Linked DNA regions of Callithrix jacchus. The protein of the gene in region 1 interacts with the protein of each later gene in a pairwise test. Links are inferred from orthologs where the notes say so. Each region holds a gene or a part of one and is shown on either strand. Other genes may lie near its edges.

Evidence for each region.
Region 2: the proteins of KRT40 (region 1) and ZBTB16 interact in binary tests that used the Homo sapiens proteins (3 or more experiments, as listed by UniProt). The two-hybrid records come from large-scale screens. The link is inferred for Callithrix jacchus from reciprocal best matches to the Homo sapiens genes KRT40 and ZBTB16.
Region 3: the proteins of KRT40 (region 1) and AP1M1 interact in binary tests that used the Homo sapiens proteins (3 or more experiments, as listed by UniProt). The two-hybrid records come from large-scale screens. The link is inferred for Callithrix jacchus from reciprocal best matches to the Homo sapiens genes KRT40 and AP1M1.

Annotation. Positions count from the first base shown.
Region 1 is NC_133506.1:92,276,163-92,279,762, forward strand, and holds the start of KRT40 (keratin, type I cytoskeletal 40), read left to right. Parts: upstream 1-1,213; 5' UTR 1,214-1,254; coding exon 1,255-1,701; exon of another isoform or gene 1,702-2,396; coding exon 2,397-2,479; exon of another isoform or gene 2,480-3,110; coding exon 3,111-3,267; intron 3,268-3,600. UniProt on the Homo sapiens protein: May play a role in late hair differentiation.
Region 2 is NC_133511.1:13,736,576-13,740,398, forward strand, and holds the start of ZBTB16 (zinc finger and BTB domain-containing protein 16), read left to right. Parts: upstream 1-1,340; 5' UTR 1,341-1,509; intron 1,510-3,823. UniProt on the Homo sapiens protein: Acts as a transcriptional repressor. Transcriptional repression may be mediated through recruitment of histone deacetylases to target promoters. May play a role in myeloid maturation and in the development and/or maintenance of other differentiated tissues.
Region 3 is NC_133523.1:14,851,568-14,854,642, forward strand, and holds the end of AP1M1 (AP-1 complex subunit mu-1), read left to right. Parts: intron 1-576; coding exon 577-702; intron 703-1,267; coding exon 1,268-1,343; intron 1,344-1,498; coding exon 1,499-1,521; 3' UTR 1,522-2,431; downstream 2,432-3,075. UniProt on the Homo sapiens protein: Subunit of clathrin-associated adaptor protein complex 1 that plays a role in protein sorting in the trans-Golgi network (TGN) and endosomes.

The DNA.
Region 1 (3,600 bases):
AAGCAGCACTCAAGATTAGGAGAAGAAATAAGTTTATTTTGGATCATAAATTTTTTAACTTTTTCAGATTAATGTGTTTTTTTCCTATAATGTTCTTAAAAATTCTAGAGGCAATTTTCTCTGTGCACCTTTGAAAATGAAATACATGTCATGACTAACGCTAAGCAAAGTGAAATAGATTGTACTTCATAACGGAGGTGAAATTCAAGAGAGAATCCAAAAAAGTCACACATCTCAAGCTCCTATCTGTCAGATTTGGCATCAGAGATTTCAACCAGTGGAATTAGTCATTTGGAACCTGAATAGAATTTTATTTCCCAAGTTCCAGTATGTTTATACATCTCAGAAGCAAAGACTCCTGTGGGTTCCTCCCTCTTTTCTGAAGTATAATCACTGAGGAATTCCCAAGGGACTAAAAGATTATAACTTAGAAAATTTATATTTCACTCTTATTAGGAATACAGGTAAAATTGTATGACTTATCTAAAAATAAGAAGTGTGGAGAAGGCAAGTTTCAGGAAGTCAAAGATCATAATTCCAGCTCTAACCAATATATATTTTAACTTACAGGAAACAAGTTATTCCTATCAGTTGTGTAAAGAGACTTTTCCATTTGTATGCAGGTAGACATGGTTTGTACACACACACACACACTCACACTCTTTAAACCCAGTATATACCTCACTTCTCCAGTCCTGTCAGCACATGCTCTAAGATCACAAAAAGCACTGGAAGATTGCTAACCACACTGACCATTTTTATAGTGGTGGACAAACAAATGAATGTCCTTTTATGAGCCGTAATACTAATTTTAAAGAAGACACAAGCAATCAATGCACAGAATCAAAATCTGTGGGAATATTAATTTCCTGATTTGTAATGAGTTGTATCTATAATTATTGATTGGCCAAATGTTCTCTTTCTTTTCTTATTCTGTCAAAAAGACAATGCTTCCTATGATGATTTTCTGAAATAAGTGTTTTGTCTTGCACATGGAAATGGTGTGGGCCCTGCTTTGGTAACCTAAAGTTATCCCCCTTTTATGAGGCATACAACTCTTCTTCAGTAAATAAACAACTCTAATGAGATGTTTGTATAAAAACCGGCACCATCAATGATGACGAAAACATCCGGTGCAGTCTGTAAACACCCATTTTGAGGGGGCGCTATATAAAACTCTCAGGAGGGAAGGAGTGTTTTGGAGTCAAGGCAACTGGTGTTTTGCAGCCAGTCTCTGTCTTTGCTTCTAGAAGGATGTCTTCTGACTGCTCCTCCACGCTCTGCTCTCCTGAGTCCTGTACCAGGGCTTCCTGTTGTGCACCTGCCTCAAGCTGTTCCATGGAGACAGCTTGTCTCCCCGGTTCCTGTGCTGCATCCCGATGTCAGACCCCTAGCTCCCTTTCCAGGTCTCTCGGGCTGACCGGTTGCCTCCTGCCATGCTACTTTACTGGGAGTTGTAGTAGTCCCTGCTTGGTGGGGAACTGTGCCTGGTGTGAGGATGGAGTGTTCACTAGCAATGAGAAGGAGACGATGCAGTTCCTGAATGACAGACTCGCCAACTATCTGGAGAAGGTGCGCAGCCTGGAGGAGACCAATGCAGAGCTGGAATCCAGGATCCAAGAGCAATGTGAACAGGATATCCCACTGGCATGTCCCGATTATCAGTGTTACTTCAACACCATTGAAGATCTCCAACAAAAGGTGCATGTCCTGTTGCCCTAGTGCTCCAGCTTCTCGATCTATGGTTTGCTTTATCTTTCTACTAGAAGGTGCTGTTTTACAGAAGGAAACCAAGAGAAAGGAGAGTTCTACAAGTTAATGGTACATAGGGAAGAGCACTGTGCTGGAAGTCGGGAAACCTCAGTCCCACCCCTAAAGCTACCCCTGATTACTGAGTAACTATAACAAAGTAACTTGTCTGTGGACTTTTCCTTCGTCATCTATAGAATGCAAAAAGACTGTGTTATATCCAAAATCGCTTTTGTATGTGACACTGAACATTTATATTATCTGAACACAGATCATGAAATGCCATCTTTTTAACCACCTAGTCATTTTCTTCTCTCCCTGATGAATTTCCATTATGGGAGAGGGTATAGTCATAATACAAACTACTGATGGAGAAAAACGTTAATGGCGTTCCACTGCCTAGGAATAGTGCAAAATGTCTTATGTTATGAGAAAAAGTGAACCTTTTTATGTCTCTATTTTGTTTCTGAATTGGCACTGCTTGTTTGCTTCATCAAGTGACACGGTGAATACGGAAAGCAGCTAACGGCCATTTTACACTTTCTTATAAAGACTTTCAAAGGATAACTAATGGCATAGCTGTTGGATAGTAGTTTATTTAGGTTTCTCTCAAAGAATACTTTATTAAATAAGGACTTTCTTCACAGATCTTATGCACGAAGGCAGAGAATTCTAGACTTGCTGTACAGCTTGACAACTGCAAACTGGCCACTGAGGATTTTAAGTCAAAGTGAGTTGAATTTTATTTAATTTATTTATTTTGAGGTGGAGTTTCCCTCGTTGCTCAGGCTGGAGTGCAGTGGCACTATCATGGTTCACTGCAACCTCCGCCTCCTGCGTTTGAGCGAGTCTCCTGCCTCAGTCTCCCAGGTAGCTGCGATTACAGACAGGCATGTGCTGCCATGCCCAGCTAATTTTTGTATTTTTAGTAGAGAAGAGGTTTCACCATGCTGGCCAGAATGGTCTCAAACTCCTGACCTTAGGTGATCTGCCTGCCTTGGCCTCCCAAAGTGCTGGGATTACAGGCATGAGCCACCACACCCAGGCTTAATTTTATTTTGAAAATAATTTATGGCGCTCTCTCTCTCTCTCTCTCTCTCTCTCTCTCACACACACACACACACACACACACACACAAACACACACACACTCTCTCTCTCTCTCACACACACACACAAATATTCTCTATATAATATCTTAAAGTTAAGAATGTCTTAAAAGCTTGAATTTATCATTACTCAGGAATTAAGAGAAATTCTGCATGTGGCTTCCTGAAATTCATATGTCGATCCTCCATGTATCCTCACACTTTGCACAGCATTCAACAGAATAAGTGTTGGATTTCTCTTTTGCTGTGAAAGGTACGACAGTGAACTGTCCCTTCGCCAGCTGTTACAGGCTGACATCAGCGGCCTGCATGGAATCCTGGATGAGCTGACCTTGTGCAAATCCGACCTGGAGGCCCATGTGGAGTCTCTGAAGGAAGATCTTCTTTGCCTTAAGAAAACCCATGAAGAGGTAAGGAAAGTGGCAACTCCGTTGAAGGACTCCAAGAGTGACATAGTTACACTGACAGATGATCTGTTGATGTTTGTGAATAGAACTAGGGCAGATGTTGCTTAAGCTAGACTAAAACTGCTCAAGGCATTATTACTGCTCAGCCTGATCATTCCAGTGTGTCTCTGAATTAAGATGTGAAATACCCCTGGCCAGTGCCAGACGAAGAAATCAAACTCTTCTCCTGCCCCTGCCTTTGTGGAGAAGGTGAATAACTCCACAAATGGCTTTCCTTGGAGGTTTTATGCCACTCCTAATTCCAATCCACCGGCTATAAAAATCAGGCTGAGAAAC
Region 2 (3,823 bases), on another chromosome or scaffold:
AAGCTCCACCTTGCTAAAACCGCGTGACCTCGAGGGCTGACTAGCCTGAGACCCCTGCATGGTGTTCTCGGCCACCCCCACCTCCCACCCCAACCTCCTAGGCTTCAGTCAGAATCCACAGCCAGTGCCTCTGGCCCCCTATCTTCACTCAGCTCCAGAGAAAAGCGGGGACAGCAGCTTTCTGCGGTCAGAGGAAGGGTACATTTTCTTTTTTTATTTTCCAAAAAATTTTTTCCCCTTTTTTTACCTTCACATGAGCAGAGGAAGGAAAGGTACATTTTCTTTGGCTGCTCTACCCTCTAAAGTAGGGCGGCCAGCTGAGAGGAGGACGCGCTTCTGAGGGGCCCAGAGCTTTTCCAAGCTTTCCCCTGCCCCCTGAAGACTGTGTGCTGAGCTGGGGGCAGTTCTAGAGAACTGTTTCCACCCAGATTGCTCTGTATGTGTGTGTGTGTGTGTGGGGGGGGGGGGGGGGCAGAGCTGAGAGGTTGTCCAAGACTAGGAGAGATAAAAGTTTCTCAGGACTCGACCTTGGCCTCCAGCAACCGCGACATCTAAAAAGGGGCGTGTCGCTTCGACAGTAGATCCCAGCGGACCTTATGGCACCAGGTTCACCAGGGCCCGCGAATTCTGCATCTGGAGACTTCTTGAAATCCGGATGCTCAAGCCGGGAGGCGCGCAGTAGCCAGAAGGATGGGAAGCCCAGGCTTGGGCTAGGAAAGCGGCCTTTTAAAACTGATGTCAGGGGCCCCTGGGAACGCAGCCCCGAGCCAAGAGGAAGAAAGTTAAAGGCGAGATGACACGCACTGAATTGGGCAAAGATTGGAAAAGGGGACAAAACTGCGTGCTTGAGCATCGGAGTGCGGGGGAGGGGGCACAAACCCGTATCCGATAGAAATTAAAATCCTGGGAGTAGGTGGGGGCTGCTGCGCGCCCTTCACCCTCGGTGCCCCCATTAAGGGTTCCGAGTTCCCTGCACTCCTGTCCTCTAGCTCCCTGCTTTCTCTCTCCTCGGCCGGTGAGCGGCGGCCGCCGGCGCCCCAGCAGCAGCTAGATGTCAGGCGAAGCCCGGAGCGCGGAGCGCGGGGAAGGGAGGGGAGGGGAAAGGAGGGGTGGGGCGGGGAGCGCGCGCGGGCTTGGCCAGTGCGGGGTGGTGGGCGGGCTGAGCCCGGGGACGGCGCGGGAGGGGGGAGGGAAGGGGGGCAGCTGTGGGCAGGGAGCCGGGCTCGGCCGCCAGCACTAAAGATGGAGAGGCGCCGGGGCCTTGCAGGGGAGGGGGCTCGGCGTTGACGTGGGACGCGGCGGAGGCGCAGCAGCCGGTGGTGATTTGCTAACCTCGCAGCAGAGAGGAGTTGAGGGCGATGAGAGCGGGTACTGCGAACTGCCGGGCGATGCCGTCGCTGCCGCCGTGATACGGAGAGCAACAGTTCCCCAGCAACACCCCTCCCCGACACAGGCACACACCCCCCGACAGGCACGCACACCCACCCCACAGTGCCCGGCTCGGCTGCGGTGAGTGAGGGGCCGGGGAGAGGCGCACCGCCCAGCGAACGCCGCGCGCCGAGCCCCCCCGGGGCTGGAGAGGTCTGGGGGGCGCGCGCTCGCTTCGGCCACTCGGCCGCTGGGCTTGTGCCTTTTTTATTTGGCGTGTTCCCTTACTGCCGCTGCAGCCGTCGCCACCACCGGTTGGGGATCGGCTGGAAGGGGGAGCCCCGGCTGTCAGCCTGGGCGCAGCTGCCTCCGCAGCCCTTCCTCTCCGGGGCACGGTCGGGGTGAGAGGTGGGGGGCGTAGCGGTCTGCGGGGGCTGAGGGCGTGAGCAGAGGGTCGGGGATCTGGAGGCTTTGTACTGCCAGGGGCGGGCAGAGGAGCAGAGCCCGTGGGTGCTCTTATGTTTGCCGACCGGTGCGCGGGCGCGAGATAAGGTTGTGGTTTATTTATTTGTGTGTTTATTCGCCGGCCGGCTGGGAAGCTAGAATTGGAGAAGCTGACGAGTAGATGCGGGGGCGGAGGAGAGCAGGACTGGGACGGCTTACGTTTTGTTTCTCTTTGAAAAAACGTGGTGGGCTTTTTCTTGATTAGACTTGATCCCCCTTTTGCAGGGGAGGGAGGGAAGCTCCAGAGGGTTTCCAGCGCTCCGGGCCCTCCTCGGCTCTCGGCGGGACGGGCGGTGACGCCGGAGCTCGCCGTGCGCTCCCGGCCGCTCTCGGTGGGTGCCAGGCTCTGCACCTGATGCGTTCGGGATGCCTTTCCCACCCTGGCGCGCCCGCCGCTCGCTCGCACAGCGCCTCGCACACTCCCGCACGCGCTGGAAATGCGCACGGTCCCGCCGGCCCGCGGACCCACCGAGACGCACAGAGCGCTCCGCACCGACTCGCTCGCCGGCTCCCGAGCCGCTCGCACCGAGCCTGGGCCGGGCGCGCCGGCCGCTAGCGCTGTTGGCCCGAGGCCCGGGACCCAGCCGGTCCCTCCTGGGGGTCACGGCCTTGGGTCGGAGAGGGAGGGCCGGCAGACCCCTTCTCGCCTTTCCTCCCACAACTCGCTGCGGGGCTTTTGTGCTTCCCCTTCGCCGCGGGGCGGGTCCGCCTCCTGCCGCCGCGTAGTCCTGCCCGCCCGGGCTGTGGCTTTTCCTCCCCGTCTCTTTCGCTTTCCCCTGCCCCTAGTTCAGCTCTCCTTCTTTCAGGTGTCTAGCTCTTCGGGAAAAGTTGCTTCCCCAAGTTTGCTGAAGTCGTTTCCAACTCTCGGTGGGGGTCGCTGGGAACTGGGGGCGTGTGAGAGCGCAGTCGATCCTGAGGCTCTGGCGGGTTAGCGCCGGCTCTCCCTGCGCCGCCCGGCTGGACGCTGCAGCCAGCTCCGGCCAGATCGCAGGCGCTGAGCGGTGGGTGGGGAAGACGGCTGCCTGAGGGTGCCCCGATTTCCCTCAGGACCCAAACGGCTTGTTCTGGGGCGCCAAGCATCCATTCTTTTGGCTGCTCTCTCCTAGTTTTCAGAAGTCCCGATGTCTGCGGGAAAGCACGAGGTGGAGAGGCTCGGCTGAATGGTCATCCCACCCTTGGCGGCCTCCATCCCCACCCCGGGGTGGGCAGCAAAAGTGTCTTGATCAGGCGTCCTGTGAATCCTTTCTGTGTGAGCGTGGAGGCTCCTGAACTGATAGAGCTCCTTCTGGGGGTGGAGGCAAGTAAGCAGTGTTTGAAGAGTGAGGGAGAGACCTTGCTGTTCCTTGCTCCCAGTTCATTCACTGCAATATTGGCCGCTGCAAGGCAGACACGGGGAGGGCCCTGGGCCTGGGCGGTCTTTCTAACACTCCTTAAGCGGGATTCGGAGTACAGGAGCCCTCTTATTGATCCTGAACAGGCTCAGGGAGAGGCCTTTGTTTCCCAGCCCTGTCTTCCCTTCGTACTGGTTATAACTCACACCACAGATGCTGGTGCCAATACCACGTCCGGAGCCTCTGAGCCATGGCCAGCATCCCTTGCTGCCCCTGGTCACAGGACTTGCAGACTCCTTGGAGCCTGTGGGACACACGTGGAGTTCACACACCCAGCCCAGCATGAGCACTCCTGGCTGTAGGGGCGCATATTTACTACCGGCTCTCTCCATACCTTAATGACTCATCCTTCTTTGTTTTTTAGATCCTCCTGTCCACTGCTCAGTTATGGGTAGGAGGGTAGGTACAGCACCTTATGTAAGTGTGTGTGTACACCCACTTTTTTTTTTTTTTTTTGAGATAGAGTTTCACTCTTTTTGCCCAGGCTGGAGTGCAATGGCGTGATCTTGGCTCACCACAACCTCCACCTCCCAGTTTAAGTGATTCTACTGCCTCAGTCA
Region 3 (3,075 bases), on another chromosome or scaffold:
GATGCCCAGGCTGTGACCTCTTGTTCCTCAAGGAAGGGAGAGGGTGAAGGTCATTGCCAGGATGCAGGTTCCAGCCAGAGCCAGAGCTGCCCTCTGCTCACCCTCAGGGCATGCTTCTTGGTTTCTTCCTTTTGTCACCTCTCTCTGTTCATGGTTCTCACCTTGACACACTCTTCACATGCTGTCCTGAACCTCGACGCATGGCCCCTGGTCCCCGGCAGCCCTCACCTGCCGGAGTCATCACACACACTCCCTCCCTCTTCCTTCCCATGGCCAGTCTGTCTCATTCACCAGCCTTGGAGGAAAGTGCATTGGGGGAGCTGGGGTGCTGGGCCCCTGCAGATGACACAGGTGACATTGCAGGGGCTTGATGACTGGGGCTGGTGGCTTGGTGAGCTCAGCTCTGGGTGCCTGGGTGTCCTCTTGGGGCTGCTGGGCACTCCAGCATAGGGTCTCACGCTCCCCTCCCTGGACTGGGGTGACTGGTCAGTCTCTGCTCATAGCCGCTAGGGCCAGAGCTGTTGGCCAAGCCGGGGGCAGGGCCTGGGCCTGAGCACCTCCCCGTCTGCTCCCCAGGGTGGCAAGGAGTACCTGATGCGGGCCCACTTCGGCCTGCCCAGCGTGGAAGCAGAGGACAAGGAGGGCAAACCCCCAATCAGTGTCAAGTTCGAGATCCCTTACTTCACTACCTCTGGCATCCAGGTACGTACGGCCCAGGTGAGGCCGCAGGCAACAGACATCAGTGCAGCCAGCACGGAAAAAGGGGTCAGGCAGCTGCAGCCACGACCCCATGGTGCTGCGGGGCTCCACCTCCCCACAGGCAGTGGGACTCCAGATGAGGAGAGGCGAGGCTGCCTCTGCTTAGCCCTGATCTCAAAGCCCAGAGACTCATTCTGCCCAAAAACTAGCATTTGAGGCTCTGCTGTCCATACTGATGCATCATGGGACGTCTTCCCTGGCACCCCCTCAAAAGCCCATGGTGGGAGAGGCTTAAGGAGAGCCAAGGGCCTTCTGGCTGGGCCCCCAGCAGGCTGCTGAGGCTGAGTCTGCAAGGCTCACTATGGTCGTCACCGCTTCCAGAGGCGGCTCTGCCCTCCCACGCCTCTGCATGGTCCAGACACAAATCCCCTTCACCCCCGAGGTCTGTGCTTGTCCACTCATCACAGCCTCCCCTGCCAGTCCTGGGCTGCTCCAGCAGGAATGGTTATGGGGGGACCAACAGGGATGGGAGCCTGCGGTGCTCAGGGCCCTGTAACCTGTGCCCCAGGTGCGCTACCTGAAGATCATTGAGAAGAGCGGGTACCAGGCCTTGCCTTGGGTGCGTTACATCACACAGAACGGAGGTGAGTGCGGCCCCACCGTGGGGTAGGGTTGTGCTGAGGGGTCCTCTGTGGCTGCCCCCAGGGTGGAGCGGTCAGCTCAGGTCCTGAAAGCCTTGTCGGGTGCCCACACTCCTGGGTGCAGAGTCCAACATGAGGCCTCCCCTTCTGTCTCCTAGATTACCAGCTCCGGACCCAGTGAGGGGCTGTCGCTGCCAATGCCCTGGGCCCAGCACCAGGGGACACACCTGCCAAGCCCGCCGGAGAGAGGGGCCCTCCCTGGACTCGGGCCAGCCTCCCAGCCTCTGCCCAGGGACCCCTGCCTTCCCCAGGCCACCTGCTCTGCCATCAACACTCATCTCAGAAGCCCCTTTTCCTGAAGAGGCTGGTCTTCAAGAAATCTCGTCTCTTTGTCCCTGAAGTCAGTTTCAGGGGAAGGAGATGAGATGAAAACTTTGCCTCTAGAGGTTACAGCCTTTTATGCTGTTGAGCTCCCAGGTACTAAGAAGCTTGGCCAATGCTTGCCAGACAGACAGTCAGCTGCAAGTGGTATCTGCCACCAAGGAAGCACCAGCCTCACCAGGCCAGCCGGTGCGTCGTCTTGTTGCCATTTTGTTGAACGTGATGGGTTTATGGGTGTTCCTGGAACTTGTCTTTGTGCATTCGTTGCTGTTTGTGTTGCCCTCACCATCCCCATGTCCCACCCACATCCCACGGCACTCAGGCAGCACTTAGTGAGGACGAGCCCTCACCCTCGTCTTCCTCCCTGGCAGTGCTTGCAGGGGGCCGTTTACACATCGGTGCCGGGACCTGGTGCTCTCGGGGGCCACTGCAGCATCTGCCTGCTCCCTGGAGGCCCCTGTTCTGGACTCACAGGCCTCACCTGTGGCACCTTCTCAGGGCCAGCCTGGGTCACAAGACGCTGTCACTCAGCCAGACCAGTATTTACCCAGCAGGGGAGGTGGGATTCGGCGAGAAACGCCAGCCTCAGACTTCTTCCCACTGAGGGTCCAGAGAGCGGGGCCATGTGTCACCCACGTCTGCGCTTGGTCACCGCCCTCCCCACCCTATGTGTGTTCATGTCATAGTTACATTAAATTCCATTCATTGAATACTCTGCGGTCTTCCTCGGTTGCGGCGTGGTCTCGACGACTCCTACATGACCACGGGCAGCTGCAGCACTTGCCTGGTTTCATCATGACGTTCCTGTGGCCTCACAAGGTGCCACCAGCTTCTGCTTCTCGAGCTAAAACAGGAAAAGCAGCTGCTGGATGAGACAGCTGCAGCGCTGGACCATGGGCCACCACTTCTGTGCCACACAGAGGAGACCACAGAGGCAGGTTCTCTCCTCCGACCTGCTCTACCCTCAGATGGCCAACAGCTGGTCCCCGCCTCTCCCCAGCCTCTCCGAGCACGGTCCTTGTGTCAGCAGCATCCCTGTGTGCTCACTAGAAATGCAGGTTCTTGGGCCAACCCTGACCTGCCAAAGCCGAGGCTCTGGGGCCAGGGTCCCGGAAACCATTAACAAGGGCCCCAGGTACTTTTTCTGTGAACTGCTACCTGGTCCATGGGGGAAACAGCACGTAGATAAGACATACTCCCGGCTATCCTGCCCCCAGTGCTCATGGCCCTGCCTGGCCAGCACCCTCTTGCCTTGGTTCTCCCCCTCCCTCTCCTGTCTTGCTGAGCTCACCCTCAGGCATCTCGTGGGCATCCATCCTAACACGACCCAAGTAGAACCTTGGCTGTCCACCCA